Anolis sagrei: one gene and its partners. The protein of the gene in region 1 interacts with the protein of each later gene in a pairwise test. Links are inferred from orthologs where the notes say so. Each region holds a gene or a part of one and is shown on either strand. Other genes may lie near its edges.

Region 1 (7,268 bases):
TCCAGCCTCTTCCAGCTTCTCTCCTTTTTTGCTCCATCTCTGGAGTTCATCCTTCAGCCGTTGGTTTTCCCATTTGAGTTCGGCTGCCTCCCAATTAGACTGCGAGGTGGCACACCAAGGCAGCCCCACAGGCCCTGGCAAAGGAGGGGCTGACCGGCTTTGGAAATGGGATGGTGGGATCAGCCCTCTGGGCTCTACATAAAAAACAGATGAACACCAAAGGCAGAGATGGACATATAAGTACTGAAAATTCAGACAATTGGATTTTATATTGGAGGGAACTTAGGGATACAACAGATCAGTATTCTAGGGGTTCATACTATGACAGATTCTGTCCGTTCAATCCACATTCTTGCAGAATTTGGTCAATGGTAAAAAATATTTACTGTAGTATACTTTCAATGAACCAGCACCCATGGGGATTAGTAGATGCTGGATAAACATAGTTTCTGGTTGCTTGAGAGTTACTATTAGAACTAGGCCTAACTACTGTATATTGTATATTGATTGTTATGATTGTTTTAACTGTGATAATTGTTTTAACTATGGTTTTGTACACTATGTATAATTTTTGTACAGGCATCGAATTGTGCCTTTTGTAAGCCACCCTGAGTCCCCCCTCGGGGGTTGAGAAGGGCGGGGTAAAAGTACCCGAAATAAATAAATAAATACTGTATTAGTATATCCTGCCTTTCTCCCTGTGGGGACTTAAATTAGAAAGGGGGGCAGAAGACAGTTCCACCTTGTCTCCTGTGCTATTCTAATAATAAAATATAATAAATATAATATAATATAGTGTATATACATATATTTATAATATTATAATGTAATGCAATATAATGTAATACTATAATTATATATGTATATTACATGTAATATTACTAATATTATTACAATACAATGTTATAGTACAATATAGTAATATTTAATACTGATATCGTATTATGCTAATAATATATATTGTATGTATATATATCTTGTAAACCGCTCTGAGTCCCCTTTGGGGTAAATGTCGTAAATACACTGTAGAAATAATGAGTTTGACACAACTAACTACCGGACCCACTGCTACGGAATCCTCGGAATTGTAGGCACCTTCTACACTGCTATATAAAATCCAGATTATCTGCTTTGATAATCTGGATTATATGGCATTATATAAGCATCTCTTCCAAAGATTCCACAGCACTGAAATTCATGAATACTATAGTGTAGATTCCATATGTGACACTGACAAGCACAGGACACTCATACTCCCAACTTCCCAAATAACAAAATCAATATTAACACACAAAGAAGCGATCTCAAATGCGCTCCTTTTTTTACCAGTGGATCTTGGCACTCCGAACGCAGCAGGAGGCTCCAGCTGTTTGTCTGAATCTTTCCTTCTATCCATGGCTCCGAATCATAATCCTTCAGAAATACATTCACAGAAGTTACAATTACAGGACCCACCACCAAAAAGAGAATAATAATAATAATATTGCTCCCTAGAAATCTTGAGATCCTCCAGCACAATTCTATGAACAATTTCTACTGAAAGCAGACTATAAAATAGCACCAAGGCCCCTTCTACACTGTCATATAATCTACATTATTGGTTTTGAACTGGATTATATGGCAGTGTAGACCAGGCATGGGCAAACTTTGGCCCTCCAGGTGTTTTGGACTTCAACTCCCACAATTCCTAACAGCCTACCGGCTGTTAGGAATTTGTGGGAGTTGAAGTCCAAAACACCTGGAGGGCCGAAGTTCACCCATGCCTGGTCTACACTGCCATATAATCCAGTTCAAAGCAGATAAACTGCATTTTATATGGCATTGTAGAAAGGGCCAAAATATGGATCTCTCAGGTGTCTGGCACTCATGGGGGTTGGTAGATTCTGGTTGCTTGGGAGTGCCTATTAAAAATAGGACTAACTAATACTATACCCCGTACTATACCATAAAGGTAAAGGTAAAGGTAGTCCCCTGACATTAAGTCCAGTCATGTCTGACTCTGGGGTGTGGTGCTCATCTCCATTTCTAAGCCGAGGAGCCAGCGTTGTCCGTAGACACCTCCAAGGTCATGTGGCCGGCATGACTGCATGGAGCGCCGTTATACCATACTATACCATACCATACACTTTAAATTTACTTGATATTAATATTGAAATGCAATAGTTAAAAGCAAATCAGGACAAATAAAATCTTAATATATTGCGTTATTATAAAAACAGCTATGTGACTGCACTATGCAATGTTGTTTTAAAAGTTTTGCTGGTTGCTTGAGAGTTCTGCTATCTGAAATTCTGGTTAATTGAGAGTCTACTATATTTGCATTCCATTTTACAGGTTGAGCATTCTTTTATTTCACATCCAATATCCTAGAGATCATTTTATACAATATTGTATATGTATATAAGGCATATATATATCTATATCTGAATTTCATGATGAGGTTTAGTTCTCCTCTCCAAGTTAATATCACTATGGAAATCAAAGTATTCCAAAATCTGGAAGGAAAAAAAATGCAAAATATTTTGGATAAGGAAGACTTTATCTGTGCTCTAGAGCTATTAATTTTTGTGTTACTTACCAATTGTTTCATGCACAAAATGATTAAAAAGTATTGGTTAACATTAGCTGCAGGCTATGATTCAAAGATATATGTCTAACAAGCAATTTTAATGCTTAAGAAGCCAGTCCTAACATGATCCTCTTTCTTCTTTTGCATTTCACAAGTCAGTTGGGTTTCTTTAGCACAAGCTGCTTTCTAAATCCTTTCTTTTACTCTTTAGAGCCCCCCTTTTCCCTTATAAATTGGTTCGTTCCGCTTCCCCCCTTTTCCTCCTTCTCATTGGTTCGCTCCGCCCCCCCCCCTTTTCTTTTTACATGAATCCACCGTTCCGAACCCTCCATCAACAGTCACTAGCAGCAACCCACCGACGTCGAACTGCGCATGCGCCAAACTCTCGCGTCCCAAGCTCCAACGGAGAGAATAGAAACCACACCGATCCGAAGAGAACGGAAAGATATGGAACGGTGACGTCACGAGATAGGCGGGACGAATGTTAGACACACCCCCTCGCGGTGTCTCAGCCAATCAGATAACGGGACAAGCTCTTTGTTGTTTAGAACGGGTTTTTTTTTCCTCCCCGCTTCAAAAGGGCGCGCGAAGAATGAGGACACGCCCCTTTTCCTCAAATCGACCAATCAGCGGATTGGATCCGAAAAAGCGGTAGAAACTTGTTTAGGTTGCCCATTAAGTGCATCTACACTATAGAATGAATGCAATTCAACACAATTTTAACTCCCAGGGCTCAATTACTATGGAATCCTTTAAGTTACAGATTGATGAAGCACAATTACTTTTTGGCAGAAGAGGCTCAAGACCTTATAAAACTACAGCTCCCATAATTTCATAGCATTGAGCCATGGCAGTTCAAGGGGTGTCAAAGTGCAGTCATTCTACAGTATAGATACACCCTAACTTTTAGTATCATAGAATCAAAGAGTTGGAAGAGACATCATGGGCCATCCAGTCCAACCCCATTCTGCCAAGAAGCAGGAATATTGCATTCAAAGCACCCCTGACAGATGGCCATCCAGCCTCTGTTTAAAAGCTTCCAAAGCAGGAGCCTCCACCACACTCTGGGGCAGAGAGTTCCACTGCTGAACGGCTCTCACAGTCAGGAAGTTCATCCTCATGTTCAGATGGAGTTCAACAAATGCACAGCCCATGAATATAAAGAGAAGCCTATTTCCAATTTTCTGCTGTAATGTAGAATCATAGCACTATAATTATATATTGTGTCATGGTACTGGATTTTTTAATAGTGGGCTGCACTATTTTTGCTCCATTGAAACTCATATAGAGCATTTTGTTGAATAATTGTCTCAATCCTCTTTACAAAGAAGAAAAGAAGGTCCTCTCCTAGTTTGCAGAATGCTTTGCAAATCATGCTGCTGTACTTGTTGTTCATTCGTTCAGTCGTCTCCGACTCTTCGTGACCTCATGGACCAGCCCACACCAGAGCTCCCTGTCAGTCGCCACCACCCACAGCTCCTTCAAGGTCAATCCAGTCACTTCAAGGATGCCATCCATCCATCTTGCCCTTGTTCGGCCCCTCTTCCTTTTGCCTTCCACTTTCCCCAGCATAATTGTCTTCTCCAGGCTTTGCTGTCTCCTCATGATGTGGTCAAAGTACTTCAGCTTTGTCTCTAGTATCCTTCCCTCCAATGAGCAGTCGGGCTTTATTTCCTGGAGGATGGACTGGTTGGATCTTCTCGCAGTCCAAGGCACTCTCAGCACTTTCCTCCAACACCACAGTTCAAAAGCATCGATCTTCCTTCGCTCAGCCCTAAGGTCCAGCTCTCACATCCGTAGGTTACTACAGGGAATACCATGGCTTTGACTAGGCGGATCTTTGTTGCCAGTCTGATGTCTCTACTCTTTACTATTTTATCGAGACTGGACATTGCTCTCCTCCCAAGAAGTAAGCGTCTTCTGATTTCCTGGCCACAGTCTGCATCTGCAGTAATCTTTGCGCCTAGAAATACAAAGTCTGTCACGGCCTCCACGTTTTCTCCCTCTATTTTCCAGTTGTCAATCATTCTTGTTGCCATAATCTTGGTTTTTTTGACGTTTAGCTGCAACCCGGCTTTTGCGCTTTCTTCTTTCACCTTGATTAGAAGGCTCCTCAGCTCCTCCTCGCTTTCGGCCATCAGAGTGGTGTCATCTGCATATCTGAGGTTGTTAATGTTTCTTCCAGCAATTTTCACCCCAGCTTTGCATTCATCAAGCCCCGCACATCGCATGAAGTGTTCTGCATACAAGTTAAAAAGGTTGGGTGAGAGTATGAAGCCTTGCCGTACGCCTTTCCCAATCTTGAACCAGTCTGTTGTTCTGTGGTCAGTTCTGACTGTTGCGACTTGGTCCTTGCTTTAGGCTAGGCTGAGGGAATCCCTTCCCCCCTGACACCTCTATCTATATGTTCACTCACTCTCTTACTCTCTTATTGCAGCTGCTGAGTGGGAGGGAACCAGACTACCAACCTGGTACTTTCCAACAGTCACTGAGAGGCCCTCCCGCCATCTTTAACTGCCATTCCACCGGGCCGCTGAGTGGGAGGAAGCCAAACTACCAACCAAGTAATTTCCAACAGCTGCTGAGAAGCCCTCCCACCATCTTTAACCTCCATTCTTCCAGCCGCTGAGTGGAAGGGAGTGTTGTGGCTCAGCTTGATTCTGAGCCTGAAACTGAACCCTCTTGTGAGCCTGAAATGTTCCCTGATGAAGAGGATGATGGGATTCAGATTTTTGGTCCTGTTCCTATGCCTTTGTCTGCACCTCTTGCAGACACTTCACCAGAGGAGTCAACAAGTCAGTTCTCATGGGAAAAGAATGCCAGCGAATTAGATAACGACCAGGGGCAGAGACCTTCACTTGCTCAGCCGTCTCATGCTGATACTGATAGAGAAGAGAGCAGCCTTGATAGTGATTAAATGAGCAGGCAGGAATGTTTAGATTGGTGGGTCAGGAGGAGTTTGCGGCTAGCCAGCAAGAAAGAAGCTAGGTCGATGAAAGGTCATCGAAATGCTTTCATGTTGGCGAGAGCGTAACGTTTTCTTGTTCGCAAAAGGTATTTAGGCTTCTGGTTAACAAGGGGAATGTGTCAGTTCATCGTGGCTTTTAGCACGAAGGTTTCTATGGAATAACCTTGGCTCTAAAGCAGCATGCTCTGGGCTTCCTGAATCGTGATTCTTGGGACTTGTGTTTCACTGTTTTTACCAAGGACTCTTGTTTGACCATTGCTTAAAGGATTATGTTTTATGTTCTTACCTGAGGACCTTTGGAATTGTGTTTTGCATTTAACCTTTGTCTTTGGAACTCTGTATTGCTTACTCTATGTTTTGACTTGGGTTTTTGCCTCAATAAACTACAAAATCTACAGCTCTTGTGTGGTAGTATTTGGGAACAAGGTGAAGCCTACTCTGAGTTGCAACAGGGAGCCAGACTACCAACCAGGCACTCTCTATCAGCTGCCGAGAAGCCCTTCCGCCATCTTTAACTGCCATTCCACCGGCTGCTGAGTGGGAGGGAGCCAGACTACCAACCAGGCACTCTAGCAACCGCCGAGGAGCCCTCCTGCCATCTTTAACTGCCATTCCACCAGTCGTTGAGTGAAAGGGAGCCAGACTACCAACCAGGTGCTTTCCAATAGCCACTGAGAGGCCCTTCCACCATCTTTAACTGCCATTCCACCAGCTACTGAGTGCGAGGGAACCAGGCTACCAACCAGGTACTTTCCAATAGCTGCTGAGAGGCCCTCCCACCATCTTTAACTGGCATTCCACCGGCCGCTGGGTGGGAGGGAGCCAGACTACCAACCAGGCACTCTAGCAACTGCCGAGGAGCCTTCCTGCCATCTTTAACTGCCATTCCACCAGTCGCTGAATGGAAGGGAGCCAGACTATCAACCAGGTACTTTCCAACAGCTGCTGAGAGGCCCTCCCGCCATCTTTAACTGCCATTCTACCAGCCGCTGAATGGGAGGGAGACAGACTACCAACCAGGCACTCTCTAGCAACCGCCGAGGAGCCCTCCCGCCATCTTTAACTGCCATTCCACCGGCTACTGTGTGACGGCGCGAGTGGCACCACCTATGTCTGTAGAACTGTTAGTTGCAAGATTTAAACTGTTGTATCATGCTTAATTCTGCTTTTTTACCCTGCTTATGTATAGTTGGATTGATTGGTTATTTATATTTGTCAATCAGTGTTGTTTGCACCAGTTGAATTGCTTTTTCAGCTCAGTTGTTTGGCTCCACCTCTTCCTGGCGGAGGGGAGTGCTTCCCTTTTTTATTCCACCTTCAGATTTTCTACGAGATGGACATGAGTAAGAGACTTGGCTCTAAAAGCCCCTGATTAAATTACCTCTCAGCACCAATTCTGAGGTTTTTACCCTTGAGACTTATGCTTCATGTTCAGACCAACCTGAACGACATTGGGAAGTCTCAAGCACCTTCAAGCCAGTTCTTTTGGCACCAGAGGAAGACCCTGAGTCTTCAAACTGAGGTTGTGGATTGCTCCGGCATTTACAGCCATTGAGAAAGAGGGACCTGGAAAAGCTTCTCAGCTGCAAACACCTTGGACCCAAGACAACCAGAGACTGTAATGTATATTTTCCTTCCCCCCCTTTGAAACTTCCAGCTTATTGCCTTAAAGAGATAACTCTTTGTGAACAATAAAACTTATTTTGAGTTATCTACAGTGTTTGGGTCTTT
Region 2 (7,805 bases), on another chromosome or scaffold:
GAGGGAAGGATACTAGAGACAAAATTGAAGTACTTTGGTCACATCATGAGGAGACAGGAAAGCCTAGAGAAGACAATTATGCTGGGGAAAGTGGAAGGCAAAAGGAAGAGGGGCCGACCAAGGGCAAGATGGATGGATGGCATCCTTGAAGTGACTGGAATGACCTTGAGGGAGCTGGGGGTGGTAACGGCTGACAGGGAGCTCCGGCGTGGGCTGGTCCATGAGGTCACAAAGAGTCGGAGACGACTGAACGAATGAACAACAACAACCACATCTGTATGCCCATAGAATCCTGGGATTTGTAGTTTGGTGAGGCACCAACTCTATTTGGCAGAGCATGCAAAAAAAGCAACCAGAAAACTACAACTCCCATGATTCCATAGCATTGAGCCATGGCAGTTGAAGTTTCCTGCTCCTTGGTTTTGGGTTGGACTGGATGGCCTACGAAATCTCTTCCAATTCTATGATTCTAATAGGGCCGCATCACACTAGAGAAAAAATCCACATATAATCCGGTTTCTGCCTGCTGCAAAATTCTGGGCTTTGTAGTTTAGGGAAGGGCCTTTAACAGCCTCACTAAACTACAAACCCCGGAATTCTGCAGGAGGCAGAAACTGGATTTAAAGTGGATTTTTTTCTCAAGTGTGATGTGATGTTAAACTGCATTAATTGCACAGTGTAGGTGCATCCATAGTCTCCTTTTCCTATTGCCACGCATTATGTCCTGTCTAAGAATTCATATCTTCTCGTGCTATCCCCCAAAGCATAACTGTCTTCATGGCTTCTAGGGAGTGTTCAGGTTTGATCAACTCTAGGTTCTTTTGTTTTTGTTTTTGGCAGTTATTGATATCTGCAGAACTCTCCTCTTTCATTCACCATTATTTCAAGTGATATTACTATCTTCACAATCGTACATAGAAACATGTAATACAATGATGTGGACAATCCTGAGTTTGATATTCAGTTATATATCTTTACATTTGAGGCACCAAAATAGAAACTGTGTTTGGCCCATCCTGCTTGGGCACTCTATTTTGAATGGATTTGGTAACAGGACAGTATTTATTTATTTACAGTATTTATATCCCACTCTTCTCACCCTGAAGGGAACTTAGAGCAGCTTACAGAACACACACATGGCAAGCATTAAATGCTGATTATACAACTAACAAGGGCAGACAACACAACAGAGGAAAAGGCAGTTTTTCCCCATCTTATTTCCAGCAACCTGGAGGGTGTGCTCGACTCTGGCCATGGAGGGTGCTGTCACTCCATCTTCCATGCCGAGGAGCTACCTCCCAATGATGTCTTTAAGGGGTTTTTATTATGTCCCCACTAAAAACGGTACCTATTTATCTACTCGCATTTCTGCTTTCAATCTGCTAGGTGGGCAGGTGAGCTGGGGCTGACGGTGGGTGCTCAACCCTGCCCCGGGATCAAACTGCTGACCTTTTGATCAGCGGGATGTTTCCGCAGCACAGTGGTTTTGTCTGCTGTGCTAAGCCCAGTTTGTCTTCTGTCTCAGTTGGCAAAATGTCTTGGGCAGTTCAGTCTATCAATAACAGCTTAATTTGATTTATTTATTATTATTTATTTCCAATATTTCTATTGCACTTTTCTCAACCTCCGAGGGGGGACTCTGGGTGGCTTACAAACCGGCCACAATTCGAAGCCTCAGTACAATACAAATATAAGCACAAATAGCAACAGTTTAAAATAGTAAATAAAACATTAAGATAAAACATGTTAAAAACATTGTAATCAACCATATAGCCAAGTTCAGTCCGGTTCAACATCCAAGGTGCTGTCATGCTTGCTTTCTAAAGGCCTGGTCTCAGAGCCATGACTTAACCTTCTTCCTAAAAAGAAAGGAGGGAAGAAGCCAACCTGATCTTGCTGGGGAGCGAGTTCCACAGGCATAGGGCCACCGCCGAGAAGGCCTTGTCCCTTTGCAAGGCTGGCGGGACCGAGAGCAGGGCCTCCCCGGATGATCTTAAGCTATGAGGCGGGATGTAAAGGGAGATACATTCGGACAAGTAAGCTGGGCCAGAACCGTATAGGGCTTTATAGGCCAAGACCAGCACTCTGAATTGTGCTCGGAAGTGGACAGGCAGCCAGTGAAGCTGGCACAACAGTGGAGTGGTGTGCTCCCTGGATTTATATCTTTGGTATTTTCTCACCTTATACATCTTTGACTGTGATTAGATAACCCTTACATTAGTACAGGCAGGAAATAAAAATTTAGAGAAACGTATCTGAGGACTGTTTTTTCACTTCTCAGAATTAGGAATAAATATCCTGAACAAGAAATGGAAATTGCCACTTATGTACGTTACACAGTATGGTGATTCAGTCCTTTGCTATGAATTGTATTTTGAAAGACGTGGGGTGGAGCCTCCTGTAAAGTCATCCAGGGGCAATAGCCTGCTTGTAGAGAGGATTAAGCATTCTTTGTGGGCGTGTGGCCAGTTTAACCCATGAAATCGTTCTCAGTGAAACTGTCCTGGTTTATCTGAAACAGGAAAGTCCTGTTGTGACACCTAAATGTGTGTTAATTGGCTCACCTAGATTAGATCTACACTGCCCTATATCCAAAGATCTGACCCCAAGCCCCTTCTGCACTGCTGTATAAAATCCAGATTATCTGCTTTGAACTGGATCATCTTTGAATTGGACTCATATAATCCAGTTCAAAACAGATATTGTGGGATTTTCTGCCTTGATATTCTGGGTTACATAGCTGTGTGGAAGGGCCCCTAGACTCAAGGGTGTTTTAAATATATTAACAAACCTTTTTTTCTGTTGGTGGTAATAAAACTAGTGTGTGTCTTACAATTATCAGTGTCTTAGAATGCGAAAAATGCTGGTATGATCTTTTATTTCTCAGCTGAGGACAACCGGAAAAGATTTGTTCAGGCTCAGCACATTTTATTTTTGAGAAAAGCTAACTAAAGCTAATATGTCGCTGAACATGATCCAGATGGTCAGTGAATCACTGGTTATACATTTTCATTAAGCTGCTTGTAGATCTGAAGTCTCGTGTCTTACTATCGGTTTAAGAATGAAACAATAAAGTTGTACAGGTTAAGTATCCCTTATCTGGTGTTGCTATAAGAAAGTCTTATAGCAGGGGTCCTCAAACTGTTGGGAGGCCGAATTATAATTTGGGAAAAAAACATGAATGAATTCTTATGCACACTGCATATATCTTATTTGTAGTGCAAAAAACACTTTAAAACAATACAATAAAATGAAGAACAATTTTAACAAATATAAACTTATTAGTATTTCAATGGGAAGGAGCCCCCGGTGGCGCAGTGGGTTAAGCCCCTGTGCCGGCAGGATTAAAGACCGACAGGTCGCAGGTTCGAATCTAGGGAGAGGCGGATGAGCTCCCTCTATCAGCTCCAGCTCCCTTGTGGGGATATGAGAGAAGCCTTCCACAAGAATGATAAAAACATCAAATCATCCAGGGGTCCCCTGGGCAACGTCCTTGCAGACGGCCAATTCTCTCACACCAGAAGCGACTTGCTCCTGACACGACAAAAAAAAAATTGGCTGATGAGATAGGATTGTTGTTGTTGTTGTGTGCTTTCAAGTCATTTCAGACTTAGGTTGACTCTGAGCGAGGGCTGGGTAATTGACCTTGGAGGGATGTATCTGGCCCCCGGGCCTTAGTTTGAAGACTCCTGTCTTATAGCAAAACCAGAGGCACTCCAAGTGGCCAGTTACTGGTCAAAGGACATTTAATATAATGCCAAGCTTTTAAACATTGTGTTTTCTCAAATACATCACAACTATACCCTTGGTTTGCCCCTGATACGATAAATAATAAAATCTTGTATCTGACATATCAATACAGGCATTCCAATTCCAAATTAAAATAAAACAAAATTCAAAACATGTATCATCCAAAGCATTTAGAGTGACTTATATAGAATGGCAAATTCAAATGTCTTTGGAATTATTATTAGCCACAGGAGTATTATAGACCCTAAGGGCCTTTCCACACAGCCATATAACCCCGAATATCAAGGCAGAAAATCCCGCAATACCTGCTTCAATCTGAATCCATACTGCCATATATCCAGGTTCAAAGCAGAAAATGTGGGATTTTATTCAGCTGTGTGGAAGGGGACAAAGAATACTTTTTAAAACTCTTTTTATTAAACAGTAAAACAGTGTTACATTAAGTCACATTTGTATTTTGAATTATAGTATTAATCAAGTCCAGACATGAGTTTGTAGCATGGAGTATAGTATTAGGGCCCTTCCACACAGCCCTATATCCTAGAATATCAAGGTAGGATATCCCACATTATCTGGGTGTGGACTCAGATAACCCAGTTCAAAGCAGATATTGTGGGGTTTTCTGCCTTGATATTCTGGGTTATAGGGCTGTGTGGAAGGGCCCAGGGCCCTTCCACACAGCCCTATAACCCAGAATATCAAGGCAGAAAACCCCACAATATCTGCTTTGAACTGGGTTATTTGAGTCCACACTGCCCTATATTCCAGTTCAAAGCAGAGAATGTGGGATTTGGTCCAGTTGTGTGGAAGAGCCCTGTATCACTTCTTCAGTGTAGTTGAAGGCAAAGGGCTTCCCCAGGAGGGGGCAACCTCACCCTAGGCGCCGCCTTGCCTTCCGCCTCCCGCCCGAGTGAGTCATTTCCTAGAAGGATGACGTCAGGGGCGGTGCGCGAGAAGAGAGGGGAGGCTGCCTGGCGCTGATTGGACAGGGTGGCGAGTGGGCGGGGCCGCAGCAGCCTATATATTCGGCGGCCCTCCTCACGTTCCCAGCACAGAGACTTCCGGATTCGGTCGCTTTGTTTTCCTTCCTAAGCCCACGTTACGGGATGCTGTCCGCCTGACTACCCGTGTCTCGCCGCCGCTGCGCCCAGGACGCGAATGAAGAAACTGCTCCTCCTGCTCTTCAACTATCGGGGACTCAATCGAGGCGGGGGACGCAAAGGGAAACGCCGTCGGAAATGGACTCGTTCGTTATCCGCGCCGCGCGGCCTGAGGACTGCGCCGACATCCTGCGCCTCATAAAGGTATCTGGCCTTCTCGCCTGGCCCGGAAGGGAGCGGAAGGCCTACACCAGTGTAGGTCAGCGGTTCGTAACCTGAGAATTCCCAGGTGTTTTGGCCTACAACTCCCAGAAATCCCAGCCTGCTTACCAGCTGTTAGGATTTCTGGGAGTTGAAGGCCAAAACATCTGGGGACCCACAGGTGGAGAACCACTGATGTAGACAGACAGACAGGAACTAATCAATAAAGACAGATGTAATAATAATAATAATAAACCTTTATTTATACCCCGTTCATATCTCCCGAAGGACTCGGTGCGGCTTACAAGAGGCCGGGGCCCAATACATAAATAAAACAACAGCATAACAAATACAACAATAATTAAAACTCATAAAACAAGCAATAAACATTAAAACAATGAGAATAAACATTAGACAAGAATCCACCCAACATAATAAAGTTAAACCCCAAGTATACCCATTTAGCCTCTTTTTTATTTTTGATACATACATATATATATATATATATATATATATATATATATATGGGGCATTGGTAAACTTTGGCCCTCCAGGTGTTTTGGACTTCAACTCCCACAATTCCTAACAGCCAGCAGGCTGTTAGGAATTGTGGGAGTTGAAGTCCAAAACACCTGGAGGGCCAAAGTTTACCCGTTCCTGATATATACACAGAAAAAGGGGTGCTTGCTTTTTGGTGACTACAAGACCTGAAACTTGTCACGAAGACTTACAAAAACCCAAATCCCATCCATTCTCAGCTATGATGATACAGGTTTTTTTTTTCTAAATATGTGGCCAGAAAGTAAAGTCAAAGTTTGAGCTGGAGTCCAAGGTTATCTCCTCCCAATCATGAGTGCTGACATGGCTGATTTGCCTTTTCCCCCCCTTTAATCTGCTAACTCCAGATGCCTTGTGACCCACATCTAAGGAAACTGCTTTTGAAAAACAACAAAAAGGGAAGGGCTTTGTTCTCCTTTTACTTCCCTCACCTCAATAGTTGCTTTAAGGAAGTATTGGTATCAGCTAGAGAGGGTGGTTCTCTTCCTCATTCTTCATTTGAATGTCTAGTTGCTTGGAAGTGAGCCCCATTAGACCCAGAGAAACTTGGACCCCATCTATACTTGCATTTAATGCCGTTCCAAACTGGTATTGGAAGCGCAGATGGCTGAATAGAAAATGCTGGAACCAGTTTGAGGCCTGGATGGGTGATTACACAAATCACAGAGTGTTAAAGAGTATTAAGGACTTTCTTTAGCATACTTTTTTCTTATCTCCTTTTTCTCTCTTTTTTTGGTGTGTCCATGACTTTTATTAGGGGCCCCTGGTGTTGTAGCGGGTTAAACCATTGAGCTGCTCAACGAAAGGTTGGTGGTTCGAATTTGGGGAGTGGGATGAGCTCCTGCTATTAACCCCAGCTTTTTCCAGACTAGCATTTCGAAAACATGCAAAAGTGAGAAGTGGTATCAATAGATACCACTTCTACAGGAAGCTCCATGCAGTCATGCTGGCCGCATGACCTTGGAGATGTCCACGGACAATGCCGGCTCCAAAATGGAGATGAGCACAACCCTGCAGAGTCAAACACGACTAGACTTAATGTCAGGGGAAACTTTTACCTTTAATATAGCTTTTTTTAATATTAAAAAATAAAAACAATATTATTCGCACTCACAAGGAAAGTAAAGGTGGGGTTAGAGGTGGTGGAGCTCTGGTTCGTAGATTAGAATTCTATAATTATCTGCTATATCACTGAAGAAAAGGAACAGGATTGATGGGGGAAAGAGTTTGTTATAGTTATTGCATCTATATCTTCCACACAAGTGCTATTTGCACACATTTGTGGGAGTTCTATACCAGGCTGGCTGCTTTACAGTGAACTTTGAACTGCATCAAATGGTCTGTGTAGATGGCATCAGTGATATCACTTACAGGTCAATGTTTCTGTAAGCTCTGGAGTCACATAACCCATCTGCTGGTAAAGTAGGCCCTTGATCTCTCCTGTAATGGTGTTCCTTGAATAAAATGGCTAGATCAAGCTATCCTTTTTGGATTCTTTTTTAAAAATACATTTTCAATCTGTGGGTGATTGAATCTGTGGATATGGAAGGCCAGCTGTACTGAAAATGCCTTGCTTGCAGAATGCTGAGTGCAAAGGTACACGTGTACAAATGGAGAACTGTTTGTTCCATAAACAGCTTTTCTTGTTGGGCCCAGATACTTTGGCCTCCTCTGCGTTGACAAAATAACCCCTCCCTGCTCTTGTGAAAGAGGCTGTACTGCCTCCACCCTCTTTGCAAAGCTAAACGTCATGGAAAATTAGTCAACAGTTCCTGTCGAGTCAACAGTTCGTGTCCTTGAACTGTGTTGAACGACAAGATGGCCTACTTGTAAAAGATTAGATCTCACCTTTGGCAGACTTCTTCTAAATATGGCTCAAACAGATTCAGGATCAGGGGAGATAGACTTTCATACAGGGAACATTTCATAATGTGAACTTGAGTCTAGGTTTGTTTAACTTAATTCGTTGGGTGATTTTTTCCCCCCTTCACATTACAAGCAGCTCAAGTTATTGGAAAAATAATAATTTTATTTCATATCCTCTTCTCAGCACTGCTCAAGATGGGTCACAGCATAGTTAAAAACAAACAAATACTATAAAGATTCTACAAACACACATTAAAATTCAGTTCCATAGAAGACACAGATCAAAGCATTTCTGTAAAATACACATTAATCACACAGAACAGAGACCAA
Region 3 (7,733 bases), on another chromosome or scaffold:
AGGCTTGGCGGCCCGCCCTGCCCTGGGCCAATCAGCAAGCTTCTCCGCCTCTGGAGGGCCAATCGGCGTGCTTCTCTCGCTTCTGAGGATGGACGAATCAGAAAAGAGGAGGCGGGCCGACCGCGGACAATGGGGGAAATGATGGGATTACTGATAGCCGGCCAGCTGGAATGTGAGGCTTTTGTCCTGAGCCGGCTAGGTGTGATTTCCACAAGAAAGGCTTTCCTGTCCTTGATGGGTTTTGGTGGGGAAACAAACAGGACCGGGGCAGGGGACCTCAGGGGGGTCGACCCTGCCCTTTGTAAATCAATCATAATGTCCATATAGACTTCCTCGTCTCGCCAGACCGACTCAGAGAGCGAGAAAGGAAATCCCAAATATGCTATTGTCCATGCTGATGTGAGATAATCAAAATGAGTTTCGAGGGAGGCAGGGGTCCTCCCTCAGGCATTGCAACGGTCCTTGGTCACTTCTTTTAGGGCAAAAGTCAAGGGGAAAGGCGGGAAGGCAGACGATATTTCATGCAATATTATTTATACAAAGTTCATGTAAGAAAAACCCCATTTCCACCCCACATCTTAATTATTTAATAAAATAATTGATTTTTTATTTGAAAACTTGAAGTCCCAGGTTTCTGAGGGAGGCTCGTGGAAACGGAGGTGGCTTGCAGTTCAAAGCAAGCAGCAGAGAGTCATTTTCTTCTGGTAGAAGTTAGCAGATGGGCGCTGAGTTGATAAATAACAAGATCCATCGCTCGGTCCTTGGGGAACTATAACTCAAGTACCCTTATTAGAGATTAGATACAAAGTCAGGGCTAGAGGGAAAATGATGAAAGCTGAAAGCAGTCCTGGCCTTGAGCTGTTTGTTGGGGCACATTTCATCAGTTTTTTTTCAATTTCGGCTTCCAGGAACTGCGGAACTCTCCGCTGCAGTATAGACCAGTTACTGGACGGGGGCTCTCGGCACCATTTGCATGAATTCTCAATATGCCCAAATGTGAACACTGATGAGTTTGGGGGAAACAGACCATGGCATTTGGGAGTTGTAGTTGCTGGGATTTATAGTTAACCTACAATCAAAGAGCATTCTGAACCCTACCAACAATTGAATTGGGCCAAACTTCCCACACAGAACCTCAATGTCCAACAGAAAATACTGTGTTTTCAGGATGGTCTTTGGTGACCCCTCTGACACCCCCTCGCGATCCCTCCAGGGGTCCCGACCCCCAGGTTGAGAAACACTGATCTAGAACATACCCGACTAAATCTTCAAAAACAGGATAACATCCAAGTTAGGGCCAGGTTTTAGCACAGCGGGTTAAACCACCAGCTGCAAAAAATCTTGCTGATCAAAAGATTGGTAGTTCAAGCCTGGGTCAGGGTGAGGTAGCCTGGTCTTTGATGCCTGGAGGCACCCTCTAGGCAGAGACCCTCACTGATTGACTTTGCAGCTGCAAGGCTACTATCAATGCTAATTGGAACAGTCACACTAGCTTGAAACAGAGAAGGTTCTTTCTCCCTCCCTGGATATCATTCCACAGGGGGCTATATATATATATATACACATACATACATACATACATATACATACACATACATACACACACACACATTCCACTTGCTTCACTACCTCTATTCAGATACCCTCACTGATTGACTTTGTAACTTCAAGGCTACTCAATGCTATTCAAGCTTGCTACTTGCAACATCCACACTTGCTTCAAAGAGACAAAGGTTCTTTTTCCCACCCTGGACATTATTCTATAGGGATATGCACACACTCCACTTGCTTCACTGCCTCTGTGCAGACACCCTCACTGATTGACTTTGCAACTGCAAGGCTACTCAGTGCTGTTCAATCTTGCTACTTGCAACATCCACACTTGCTTCAAAGAGACAAGGATTCTTTTTCCTAACCTGGACATTATTCCACAGGGATATACACACACTCCACTTGCTTCACTGCCTCTATGCAGACACCCTCACTGATTGACTTTGCAGCTGCAAGTTTCCTCAACGCTAATTCAAGGTTGCTAATTGCAACATTCACACTAGCTTTAAAATAGGGAAACTCCAGACATCAAGCACACACTGGACAGCTCCCCAGCAGAGGGTGTTTCCAGGCAACAGAGGCCAGGCTATCTCTATGCAGATACCCTCACTGATTGACTCTGCAACTGCAAGGCTGCTCACTGCAACACCACAATTGCTTCGAACAGACAAGGTGACAGCGACCAGTTACCTGTCTTTCTCCCGCTGGAGGCATTGGATGTGTCCGTGAAGGCGGGACACCGTCACTAGCAGTGCCGTGATGTGCTCCTCGCAGCGAAGGGCTTCTCGCTCATCTGGTGGCAAAGCCTTTTCGGGGGATCCTTTGTCACCTCCAGGCCTGGATCCTTCCTGCGTTTCGGGAAACAAAATGAGTTGAATCAATGGCAGGCAAAGGCCTCAAGTGTGGCTACTATGGATCCAAGGTGTGTGCTTGACCTGGGCAAGAGCTGCATCCAAGCAACGGTCCTATTATATAAAAATAAAAAAGTAAAGGTTTTCACTTGACATTAAGTCTTGTCATGTCCGACTCTAGGGTGTGGTGCTCATCTCCATTTCAAAGCCAAAGAGCTGGCATTGTCCTCAGACGCCTCCACGGTCATGTGGCTGGCATGACTGCATGGAGTGCCATTACCTTCCTGCTGGAGCAGTACCTATTGTTCTACTCACATTTGCATGGTTTCGAACTGCTAGGTTGGCAGGAGCTGGGGCTAACGACGGGAGCTCACCGCATCCCGCAGATTTGAACTGCCAACCTTCTAGTCAGCAAGTTCTGCAGCTTAGTGGTTTAACCTGCTGCGCCAACACAGCCCCTATTATATAATAATAATAATACAATAATATTATAGGGACTATACTGCTCAGAGGCTGAGAGAATGTGGCCCTTACCTGCTCCATTCTGTCCAAAAAGTGGCTCCAAAGGCAGCATCAGCATCAAAATAAGCCAAAGCCCAGCCCTTTGGTTCCTGTTCATTCCCATAAAAATAATAATAAAGAAAAGGCCTTCCTGTTTTTCCAGAGAGGAAGGAAGCCAGCTATATCCGGACCAGTGCTTTAACCCTAAAGAAACTGGGGTGGAAGTATTTACTTATGTATTTATTATTACTATATTATATTTATTACTAGCTTGGGGTCCCGGCAGTGCCCGGGTGATTTGAAAAGGGCATTGGTTGTTTTGGGATGTTAGGTCATATCATTTAGTTAATTAGTAACATTATTTATTAGAAAAAAGCCAGTCTTTCCTGTTGTTTTTTTATGAATGCTCCCATTAGAAAATGCATAAGGGTGTGGGTGAACTGCAGTTCCCAAAATCGTGGGCCAATTACCCCAAGCCCCACCAGTATTCAAAGTTAGCCATGTTGGGCTTGTGTGCCAGGTTTGGCCCAGATCTGACGTCGGCTGCGTTCAGTGCTCTCTGGATAAGGGCAAACGAAAACTCCCAGAATCGTGGGTCAATCGCCGCCAAACCCCACCTGTACGCACTGCAAAGTTTGGTCTGGATCCGACATTGGCTGGATTCAGTGTTTTCTGGATAAGAGCGAACTACAATTCTCAAAATCAAGGTCAATTTCCACAAAACCCTGTAGTATGTTCAGTTGGTCATGGGGCTTCTCTGTGTGAAGTTTGGTCTCCCGTCCATTGTCAGTGGGGGTCACAGTTTGTATGGATGTAGGTGAACTATAACTCCCATAAATCAAGGTCAATTTCCCCCCAAACTTCTCCAGTATGTCCACGTGGTCATGGGGTTTCTCTGTGCCAAGTGTGGTCCTGGTCCATTATCGGTGGGGGTCGCAGTATGACTGGATGCAGGTGAACTACAATTCCCAAAATCAAGGTCAATTTCCCCCAAACGTCTCCAAAATGTTCAGATGGCTTCTCTGTGCCAAATGTGGTCCCGGTCCATTCACGGTGGGGGTCACAGTTTGTATGGATGCAGGTGAACTATAACTCCCATAAATCACATATACAGATTTTCACTTTTATTATGTGTATAGATATAGATATATCTAATATAGTATAATCAAAACGTATCTAAAACAATATAATGAAATTGATTAATAATATAATATATTAATAAAGTATTATTAAAGTAATATTTCCCTTTTAAAAAAAATTGACTTGATTTGGGCAAGAGGCTTAGGTTTTTGGCAGGGAAACTACAAATCCCAGAAGGCCTTGCGCCGGAAGGGCGGGGCCAAAGGAATGCCCTCCCTCCTACCCACTTCCGGCTCGGTTTGCAAAGGGAAAGAGTCTGCATCTAGCCGCTTAAAGGTGAGAAAAAGGTTTATGTATAGGTTTATGGTGCAATGCATAGCTGCTAATATGGGGAAAGGGCATGAACACTGTTATTATTATTGTTATTGTTATTATTGTTAATCAACCTGCCCTATAGGGGGAAAGCACATTGTATTTCCTTGCATTTGTTATGGCAAGATCAATCTCCACCATTAGAAAAGGAAACTAATAATAATAATAATCATAATAAAATTATGGTGATTATTATTATTATTATTATTATTATATTATGCAGAGACTAGATAACCATTTGTTGGGAGGGCTTGGATGATATCTTCCTGTCTATAATTATAATTCTAATTTTATCATTATATTATTATTGTTGTTGTTGTTATATTTCAGAGCTTCCAGGAGGGCATGGCTTGTGTCTTTCTGCCTGGGGCCTCCTCCAATTCTATATTATTATTATTATTATTATTATTATTATATTATATTACTATCAAGGAATCCAGGAGAACTCCCAAACTGCGAATCTGCGTTTTCAGGGGAAGTGTGACCCTGTCCAACACAGGCCATAACCCTATACCCTGTTTGGCCTTGTGACTGACCAGGAGCACCTCTGTCTTGTCTGGATTCAGTTTCAGTTTGTTTGCTCTCATTCAGATCATCACAGCTGCCAAGCACTGGTTCAGGACCTGAACAGCCTCCTTAGTAGCAGGTGGAAAAGAGTGATATAGTTGGACGTCATCTGCATACAGATGGCATCTCTCCCAGTGGCTTCATGTAGATGTTAAACAACATGGGGACAATACTGAGCCCTGTGGGACCCCACAAGACAATGGCTGTGGGGCTGAGCAGGTGTCAGTAACACCTTCTGAGAATGACCTTCCAGGAAGGACCAGAGCCACTGCAGAACAATGCATCCAAGCCCCATTCCCAACAGGCGTTCCAGGATACCGTGGTCTACGGTATCGAAGGCCGCTGAGAGGTCCAGGAGAACCAACAGGGACACACTCCCCTTGTCCAGTTCCCTATACAGATCATCCACTAAGACGACCAAGGCTGTTTCAGTTGTTGTTATTATTATTATTGGAAACACAACAAGATGGGTCCACAGCAGACACTCTGTTGGCTGTTGCATTGGATCACACGTCAGACACTTCCCAACTGTCTAGGAGTGTGTGATGTATCTGCGAATAATGCGTGCAGATCCCAGTAGGGTGGCCTTCTGCAGCTGGCAGATGGTAATTTTGTCAGTGCCTATTTTGTTTAAATGCAGGCCAAGGTCTTTAGTCACTGCACCCAGTGTGCCGATCACCACTGAGACCACCTTGACTGGCTTGTGCCAGAGTCTTTGCAGTTCGATTTTTAAATCCTCATATTGTGCCAGCATTTCCAGTTGTTTCTCTGCAATCCTGCTGTCACCTGGGATTGCGACATCGACAATCCATACTTTTTTTTTAACACGATTGAGGTCAAGAGTATTACGCTCCAAAACTTTGTCTGTCTGAATCCAGAAGTCCCAGAGGAGTTTGGTGTGTTCATTCTCTGTAACCTTTTCCGGCTTGTGATCCCACCAGTTTGTTGCAGGCAGATGGTTTTTGTGGCACAAGTTCCAATTAATCATCTGAGCAACGGTGTTGTGCCTCTGCTTGTAGTCTGTCTGCGCAATCTTCTTGCAGCAGCTGAGGTTGTGATCTGTTGTTTCATCTGCTTCCTTGCAGAGTCTACACTTGGGATCTGTTGTCAGCTTTTCAATTCTGGCTTTGGTGGCGTTGGTTCAAATGGCTTGTTCTTGGGCTGCCAGAATCAGGCCCTCCGTCGTCTCCTTTTTCAGAGTTCCATTTGTGAGCCACAGCCATGTTTTTCTTTGTCAATTTGGCTCTCCATTTTTGCTTGAACCTGTCCATGGAGAGCCTTCTTTTGCCAGTTTTCTCTTCTGCTTTGGATTGTGTTTTCACTCTTTGTCTTTGGCACTTGAAGCAGTTGACTACACACTAGTCCAATGTGGGCTAGGCAAAACTACGGTGAGGTGGATCTGTAATTGGTTAAGTGGACGAACACAGAGAGTGCTCACTAATGCTTCCTCTTCATCTTGGAAAGAAGTGACAAGTGGAGTGCCGCAGGGTTCCGTCCTGGGCCCGGTCCTGTTCAACATCTTTATTAATGACTTAGATGAAGGGCTAGAAGGCATGATCATCAAGTTTGCAGATGACACCAAATTGGGAGGCATAGCCAATAGTCCAGAGGACAGGAGCAGAATTCAAAATGATCTTGACAGATTAGAGAGATGGGCCAAAACTAACAAAATGAAGTTCAACAGTGACAAATGTAAGATATTCCACTTTGGCAGAAAAAATGAAATGCAAAGATACAGAATGGGTGACGCCTGGCTCGAGAGCAGTACGTGTGAAAAAGATCTTGGAGTCCTCGTGGACAACAAGTTAAACATGAGCCAACAATGTGATGTGGCGGCAAAAAAAGCCAATGGGATTTTGGCCTGCATCAATAGGAGCATAGTGTCTAGATCTAGGGAAGTCATGCTACCCCTCTATTCTGCTTTGGTTAGACCACATCTGGAATATTGTGTCCAATTCTGGGCACCACAATTCAAGAGAGATATTGACAAGCTGGAATGTGTCCAGAGGAGGGCGACTAAAATGATCAAGGGTCTGGAGAACAAGCCCTATGAGGAGCAGCTTAGGGAACTGGGCATGTTTAGCCTGAAGAAGAGAAGGCTGAGAGGAGATATGATAGCCATGTATAAATATGTGAGAGGAAGCCACAGGGAGGAAGGAGCAAGCTTGTTTTCTGCTTCCTTGGAGACTAGGACGTGGAATAATGGCTTCAAACTACAAGAGAGGAGATTCCATCTGAACATGAGGAAGAACTTCCTGACTGTGAGAGCCGTTCAGCAGTGGAACTCTCTGCCCTGGAGTGTGGTGGAGGCTCCTTCTTTGGAAGCTTTTAAGCAGAGGCTGGATGGCCATTGGTCAGGGGTGATTTGAATGCAATATTCCTGCTTCTTGGCAGGGGGTTGGACTGGATGGCCCATGAGGTCTCTTCCAACTCTTTGATTCTATGATTCTATGATTCTATTGACTTCCCTCACTGTTGTTCTTGACTGCCTTTCACATAATCTGCCAGTGTGTGTTTCTCTTCTTCTACCTTTTGTTTCACTTACAGAAGCCCTCTCTTTGCCTCCTGATTTTCTGGGCAGGTCAAGTCTGTCGATGACATCTCTACGCGGGTGTAATGAGTAGTGGGCTGTCATCAGTTTCCTTGTTTTTCTGTCCAGATCATCCAGCTCTGCTTGTGTCCAGTTCACAATCCCAGCAGTGTATCTAATGACGGGGATGGCCCAGGGGTTGAGAGCCTTGATCGTATTTCTGCCATTTAATTTGCTCTTCAAAACCTTTCTGACCCTTTGGACATATTCTTTGCTGACGA
Region 4 (7,381 bases), on another chromosome or scaffold:
TCTGCTCACCCACAGAAAACCGTATTTAATAATCTAGAATGGATGTGGTCTATTCAATGCAATTTTCTGAATCAACACCCCAATAACTCCAGGAACTGACCTAAAAACGAAAACAAGAAGAAAAAAATTGTTTTTGGTTGGGCTGTGTTATTATCCATGGATTTTGTTAATGCTCAGCACTATATGAGGGTTTTGCAAGACCAGTCGCTCTTGTTGCAACGGTGTAGTAACAGTAAAGCCGCGGACCATATTTTAATTCTTGTGGACCACTGGTGGTCCACGGACCACAGGTGAAGAACCACTGCTCTAAATTAAATCACAAAATCAAAGTTTTGCTTTCTGGATTATTTTCTGAATATTTACAAGGCATGGACAGTTGAATCTGTGGATACAAAATCCATGGATATAGAGGGCTGACTATATATACACTCATAAATGCAACAGACTGCAAGTAAAATGTGCAAGCAACACAGGGCTTTATTTCCGCACATTGCCTAGACTGCTGTCCGCCCGGTGCCTTTTCACACTCCACCAACCAGCAGGTTCCTAACGCTTGCAGACAGCTCTGTTTTTAGAATGCCTTTTTCACCTCCCAATCAATGGCCTGCAATCCTTCCCATGCCTGCCACCCTCTCTAGCATTTATAACCTCCCTTTTGAGAAGCTCTTTCACATTCTGCCCCTCAATATAAACATATGGATTGTTACAAAAGTTGAAAATCAGGGGAAGCAAGAAACGTCAAGGGAGTCTGCAATTTGCAAAACCTAGAGGTCACTCATTCATATGTCTATGTGACGGCAGTTAACAAAACAATGCATAGGTTTAAGTTTGCTGTAAGTCAGACTTGACAGCAATTAACAAAAAGATGATAAAGATGAAGATTTTGGGAAACCAAGGGTATATCTGCACTCTACATTTAATGAAGTTTGACACCACTTCAACTACAATGGCTCAATACTATCAAAACCTGGGAATTGTAGTTTACAAGGCCTTTCACTGCTGAAAAGTGCTTTGTATCAAACTCCAATTCCCAGTATTCTATAGCACTGAGACATGGAAGTTCAAGTGGTGTCACACTGCGTGCGTTCTACAGTGTGCAGATGCAGCACAAGGAAGATCAAGAAGTTTTGCAAGACTTGAGCCAGGTGACTTGGGGTGCATCGACACTGGAGCATCAATCCAGTTTGACACCACTTGAACTGCCAGGGCTCTGTGCAATAGAGTCACAGGAGTCAGCGCTTTGCAAAGTCTTTGGCCTTCTCTGCCAAAGAGTGCTGTTGCCTTGCCAAATTACAACTCGCAGGATCTCATACTGTTGAGCAATAAAAGTGGTGTCAAGCTGCATTCATTCTATAGCATGTAGATGCACCTTGGAAGATCTCTCACACTGTCAGCAAACACAGAGGTGCATCTACACCAGGCATAGACAAACTTCGGCCCTCCAGGTGTTTGGACTTCAACACCCACAATTCCTAACAGCCTACCACAGTGGTTCTCAACTTGTGGCTACTTCACCTGGCTACTTCATCACACTAGAGAATGAATCCATTTTAAATCCGGTTTCTGCCTGCTGCAGAATTTTGGGGTTTGTAGTTTAGTGAGGCTGTTAAAGGCTCCTCCCTAAACTACAAACCCCAGAATTCTACAGGAGGCAGAAAATAGATTTAAAGTGGATTCATTCTCTAGTGTGATGAAGTAGCTGGAAGGCCGAAGTTTGCCCAAGTCTGATCTTCACTGTAGAATGAATGCTGTTTGACACCACTTTGATTGCTCAACAGCATAGAATCCTGCGAGTTGTAGTTGGGTGAGACACCGACACATTTTGGTAGAGAAGGAGAGGGATCTTGTGGAACTACATCTCCCGTGATTCCATAGAAGTGATCCATGGCAGTTCAATAGGGTGTAGTTTGACACCCTATTGAACTGCCATGGCTCACTTCTATGGAATCATGGGAGTGCTGGTGTCTCACTTAACTACAACTCCCAGGATTCCACACTGTTGAGCAATCACAGTAGTGTCGAACTGCATTAATTCTACAGTGTAGATCAGACATGGGCAGACTTTGGCCCTCCAGGTAGGCTGTTAGGAATTGTGGGAGTTGAAGTCCAAAACACCTGGAGGGCCAAAGTCTGCCTGTGCCTGGTGTAGATGCACCTCTTTGTTTACCGCTTCCTAAATATTCAGCTTTCATAACCATGCATTATGTTTTGTGTGAAGTGCTGCTTTTGTCAAACTGCATGGATTCTACAATGCAGGGTCCTCCTTGGGACTGAGGGGGGAATTACAAGGTAGTGAAATTTCCCCGCCTAAGGGGCCCTCCACTCAGCCCTATATCCCAGAATATCAAAGCAGAAATCCCACATTATCTGAGTGTGCACGCAGGGCCCTTCCACACAGTCCTATATCCCAGAATATCAAGGCTGGAAATCCCACATTATCTGAATGTGGACTCAGATAACCCAGTTTAAAGCAGATAATGTGGAATTTTTTGCTTTGATATTCTGGGATATAGGGCTGTGTGGAAGGGCCCAAAGAGTGCAGGTGCCTCACCAAAGTGCACCTCCCAGGCTTCCATAGCATGAAGCCATTGACAGCTAAAGTGCATTCATTCTACAGTGTAGACACACCAGCACACTCCTGACCCAGACTGTGTACGTGAGAACGCACCTGACTGTCTGGTATCTCACCCCCATGCAATGCCCCCTCTTCTACAGAAGTGTCCACCTCCTCCTCCTTTGCCCCCCTCCCAACCACCCACTGACTCGCATGCCAATGCCTCCCATTTCCCACGTGCTTCCTCCTCCCCTTTTCCCCTTTTTGCCCCAGAATAGCCAAGATCAAGTCCAGACCTGCTCCTGGGAAGCCGGGTGGGGGAGGGGACAGGGCACCCAGCCTCCCACCTGCTGCGGGAGGAAAGGAGGGGCGCCCCAACCTCTGCTGCCCAAAGCTCCGCTGCCTCTCTGCTTGCCTGCTTCCCTCCCTCCTACGCGCGCGCACACTCACGCACGCGCGCGCCCCGCGGCACCGCCGATCCCAGCAGCGCCCGCCTTCCAATCCCCCCTCCGCGCCCCGAGACTCCGCGCCCCCATTGGCCGCAGCGTTGCTAGGAGACCTTTCAACAAAGGGCCTGGCAGACGCGCCAGCTGCTTGGCCGGCTCTCCCCTCCTTCTTCACCTGTTGCAGCCATACTCTTCCCCCCCCCCCTCCTCTCCTGCAGCATTAATACCGTTTGACACCCCATTAACTGCCAGGGCTCAATGGGATAAGACCGTGGGAGTTGCAGTTTGGCAGAGAGGGCTAGTCCAGACCTTGTGAAATTACATCTCCCATGGTTCCATAGCACTGAACGATAGCAGTTACAGCAGGCATGGGCAAACTTTGGCCCTCCAGGTGTTTTGGAGTTCAGCTCCCACCATTCCTAACAGCCTGTTAGGAGCATGCAAAGAATCAGTGAGAGTGTGTATGTGCATCAAATAAAATAAGATGCATGAATGTGTGTGGCCAGGCAATGCCCTGGGAGATGGCTGAGCCTGGGACTTTTGGTTACTGTTGCATTTTTGTTCAGGCTTGAAGAGAAGCAGAAAGTTTGGAGTGTACTTCATGAGCTGCTAAAGGAGCTTATCCAAATGGACATAGAAATACTATTTTAAACCTCCCATAAAAGGAAATTATGCGAGTTAGTACAACTGATCACATTGTACATATGTCGTTCTGAACTAAGAAGAGTAAACTACTTGTTCTTTATTGGTCACCTGCGTGGCATATTTTCTAACTCTGGCAAGGCAATGGGTGGGTTGATCAAACGTGAACTACACGTGATTTATTTTACATTAGTAAAGGTAAAGGTAAAGGCTTTCCCCTGACATTAAGTCCAGTCGTGTCCGACTCTGGGGTTTGTTGTTCATCTCCATTTCTAAGCCAAAGAGCTGGCGTTGTCCGTAGCCACCTCCAAGGTCATGTGGCCAGCATGACTGCATAGAGCGCCCTTACCTTCCGCCGGAGCGGTACCTATTGATCTACTCACATTTGCATGTTTTCAAACGGCTATTGTGGCAGAAGCTGGGGCTGACAGTGGGAGCTCACGCCGCTCCCCAGATTCGAACCTGCGACCTTTCAGTCAACAAGTTCAGCAGCTCAGTGCTTTAAACCACTGCGCCAACGGGACTCCTTTATATTATTTTATTTTACATTACAACACAGAAAATACCTGGGGGGTCAAATTTTACCCATGCCTGAGTTACAGAGATTTCAAACTGCATTGATTGTACAATGTGGATGCACCCAGGGGAGGAGGATATACCAAATCTGGTGGTACCTTAAAACATTTCATATTATTTTTCAGTTTTGCTCCTCCCTGTAGTTAGGACTTCAGCTCTCAGAGTTTCCTACTATCAGCCAGACTGACTGGGGCTTCTGGGGGTTGAAGTCCAGAATATCTTGGAGTAAAAGTTAGAAAGCACTGTATAAAACAGGCATGGGCAAACTTCGGCCTCCCGGGTATTTTGGACTTCAACTCCCTCAATTCCTAACAGCCAGTAAGAAAAATGGAATCTTGGAGGAAAATTCTGAGACTGCCTTGGACCGCTGGATGATCAAACCAGACCATACTCAAGGAAATAATGCCTGGCTGCTCACTGGAAAGAAGGATATTACAGGCAAAGATGAAATACTTTGGCCACATAATGAGAAGACAGGAAAGTTTGGAGAAGATGTCTGCATATCTGCATGGGATGCCTTTTTACCGTCCCACCAAGGCGGTACCTATTGATCTATTCACATTGCATGCTTTTGTACTGCTAGGTTGGCAGAAGCTAGGGCTGCAGTCGGGAGCTCACCCCAACTTAAGGCTTTGTTAAGGCTTTGCTGCCAACCTTCCAGTCAGCAGATTTCCTGCAGCTAGCAGTTTAACTCACTGCGCTGCTGCGGCATGTGGGTGCCTAGCTATCTTGTAAAAGAAGGACAGTGGGGTCTTGTAGAACAATTATTTTATAGTCCACCTTATATCTAGCAGTTAGCATCAGCACATGACCTGTCTGTCCAGTTAGAAATCAAAACTTCTTTCTCTTGGTCAAAAGACATGGACTTTGCTCAGTTTCCTGTTGCTTCAATAAGCACAAACAGCACCCTGTGTTGACCAGCCTAAGGAACTGGCCAATCTCAAAGCAAAGGGCTCTTTGGGGTTGGGAATCTCTGCTGTGTTTTCTTAACTAGGCAGGCCTAGCAAGATGTAAGTTCAGAGGTGTCAAGTTAAAGCTCTCACTCCGGATCCTAGGCAGAATTCAGAGCAACCCACAACTTTGTTTAACATGGGTCAAGATTCTCAGTTAACCAGGTAGATACCAGATAAATGTAGTTTTTGGTCTCTCGAGTTACTATTCAAAACAAGCCAAACTCATAAAGGTAAAGGTAAATGTTTCCCCTTGGCAGTAAATCTAGTTGTGTCTGACTCTAAGGCGTGGTGCTCATCTCCATTTCTAAGCTGAAGAGCTGACATTGTCTATAGACACCTTCAAGGTCATGTGGCCGGCATGACCACTTGGAATGCTGTTACCTTCCCGCAGAAGCGGTACCCATTGATGTACCCACATTTGCATGTTTTCAAACTGCTAGGTTGGCAGAAGCTGGGGCTAACAGGTGGAGTTCACCCCGCTCTGCAGATTTGAACCACCAACCTTTCAGTCAGCAAGTTCAGCAGCTCAGTAATTTAACCCGCTGCACCACCAGGAGCTCATACTATACATTTTGTATTGACTTGATATTAATATTGAAAGTAAAACATAATGTAACACGGTTTTACTGTATTATATATGTATTTTAATTTTGAAAAAATTTTTCAATTTTTTTGCCAATTGCTTGAGAGAATCTACTGTATTTGTCTTACTAATCTTTATCAGCAAACATTCTAAATCTTAGGTTTCTGGCTGTCTGACTCCATTTTACAAGCAATCAATAATAATAAAAAATAAGTCAAACAATAAATTATATCTTCTTTATAATAAGGCAGCTCTCCCCTCTTATCCTTACCAAAAGCTTTTAAAGAAACCACTGGAGTTTTTGCCAATGGTGGGATTCTCTCTAAAACAGAGAAATAGACATTCTTGCTGCAGTGCAAGGGAAATCGTGCGAGATGCACTATTTTAAGCTCTGCACTTAATAGTCTTACACACACACATGCACACCCACACATCTCTCGCCTTGATTTGGACAAGTACATTAATTACCTCAATTGCTAGATACAGAAATATATCAAAGCAAAGAATAAAACTGTTTGCCAACTCTCAGATAAATAATTACAGGCTCAATAGATACATAAACATTCTCTGAACATACTCAGTTTTGGATTTCAAAGCCACTTATGCTGTAACACTGTTATGACTAGAGAAACAAAATCAAATGTATTGATTCTGCAAAATATATAAACAGACCTGTAAGTGAATTGCTTCATTTTAAGAAGCCATGGTCAAAAGGCCCCATCTAAATTGCAGTTTCAAACTGAGATTGCAAGATCTGAGCTGGGCAGTTGCTGACTGGGGATACTGATTCTGCAAAATATATAAACAGGCCTGCAAGTGAATTGCTTCATTTTAAGAAGCCATGGTCAACAGGCCCCATCTAAAATGCCGTTTCAAACTGCATCATACAGCAGTGTAGATGGAGCCTGAGGTTGCAAGATCTGAGCAGGGCTGTTGCTCACTGGGGATATTGGAGGTCTCCCATTCATAGGGTTACCATAAGTCATAGGCCATTTGAAGGCAAATCGCCACCACCCTAAATCTGAACTCAGGTGTCCAGCCCCAGGTGTGTTTTTGTACAATAGTTGAACATAACTCTCGCTCTGAAATAAGATTTTAGAGGTTTCTACCCTGATTTTAGAGATTAAGCATCCTTTATCTGGAATGCTCAAATATTCTGAAATCCAAAGCTTTCCACATGAGTGGATGAGATAGTGAAACCTTAGCTTTCTGATGGTTCAATGTACACAACTTTATTCAAGCCCAACATCATGTTGAGTATAAATTACCTTCAGGCTATGTCTATAAGATGTATGTGAAACATAAATGAATTGCGTGTTTAGACCTGGCCTCATCTTCAAGATATCTTATTATGCACAATATATGTAAATATTGTTATTTCAAATCCTGTTCCCCCAAATCAAAACACCTCTAATCCCAAGCATTTCGGATAAGAGATGCTTAACCTATACAAGGTTTTCCCTGACTTGTGAGGATATAAAAGGACCCAGAAGGCAAATCTTTGTTGCTGAAAGACCAGGGCACGTTTTGGCTTAAGGAAAGAGGATTACAGCATGTGTGAGGAATGTTGTATGCTGAGAATTTCTCAATCATTAAAAGGTCCGAGGAAGAAAAGAAACAGTAGGAG

The links.
Region 2: the proteins of CCHCR1 (region 1) and SAT1 interact in binary tests that used the Homo sapiens proteins (3 or more experiments, as listed by UniProt). The link is inferred for Anolis sagrei from reciprocal best matches to the Homo sapiens genes CCHCR1 and SAT1.
Region 3: the proteins of CCHCR1 (region 1) and USHBP1 interact in binary tests that used the Homo sapiens proteins (3 or more experiments, as listed by UniProt). The link is inferred for Anolis sagrei from reciprocal best matches to the Homo sapiens genes CCHCR1 and USHBP1.
Region 4: the proteins of CCHCR1 (region 1) and SSX2IP interact in binary tests that used the Homo sapiens proteins (3 or more experiments, as listed by UniProt). The link is inferred for Anolis sagrei from reciprocal best matches to the Homo sapiens genes CCHCR1 and SSX2IP.

The regions. Positions count from the first base shown.
Region 1 is NC_090022.1:21,399,067-21,406,334, forward strand, and holds the start of CCHCR1 (coiled-coil alpha-helical rod protein 1), read right to left. Parts: upstream 3,018-7,268; 5' UTR 2,926-3,017; exon of another isoform or gene 2,885-2,925; intron 2,821-2,884; exon of another isoform or gene 2,579-2,820; intron 1,414-2,578; 5' UTR 1,397-1,413; coding exon 1,327-1,396; intron 195-1,326; coding exon 1-194. UniProt on the Homo sapiens protein: May be a regulator of keratinocyte proliferation or differentiation.
Region 2 is NC_090023.1:86,790,840-86,798,644, reverse strand, and holds the start of SAT1 (diamine acetyltransferase 1), read left to right. Parts: upstream 1-4,801; 5' UTR 4,802-4,988; coding exon 4,989-5,054; intron 5,055-7,805. UniProt on the Homo sapiens protein: Enzyme which catalyzes the acetylation of polyamines. Substrate specificity: norspermidine = spermidine >> spermine > N(1)-acetylspermine. This highly regulated enzyme allows a fine attenuation of the intracellular concentration of polyamines.
Region 3 is NC_090034.1:29,449,692-29,457,424, forward strand, and holds the start of USHBP1 (harmonin-binding protein USHBP1), read right to left. Parts: upstream 3,016-7,733; 5' UTR 2,946-3,015; coding exon 2,937-2,945; intron 2,400-2,936; coding exon 2,242-2,399; intron 1-2,241.
Region 4 is NC_090024.1:154,979,249-154,986,629, reverse strand, and holds the start of SSX2IP (afadin- and alpha-actinin-binding protein), read right to left. Parts: upstream 3,016-7,381; 5' UTR 2,851-3,015; intron 1-2,850. UniProt on the Homo sapiens protein: Belongs to an adhesion system, which plays a role in the organization of homotypic, interneuronal and heterotypic cell-cell adherens junctions (AJs).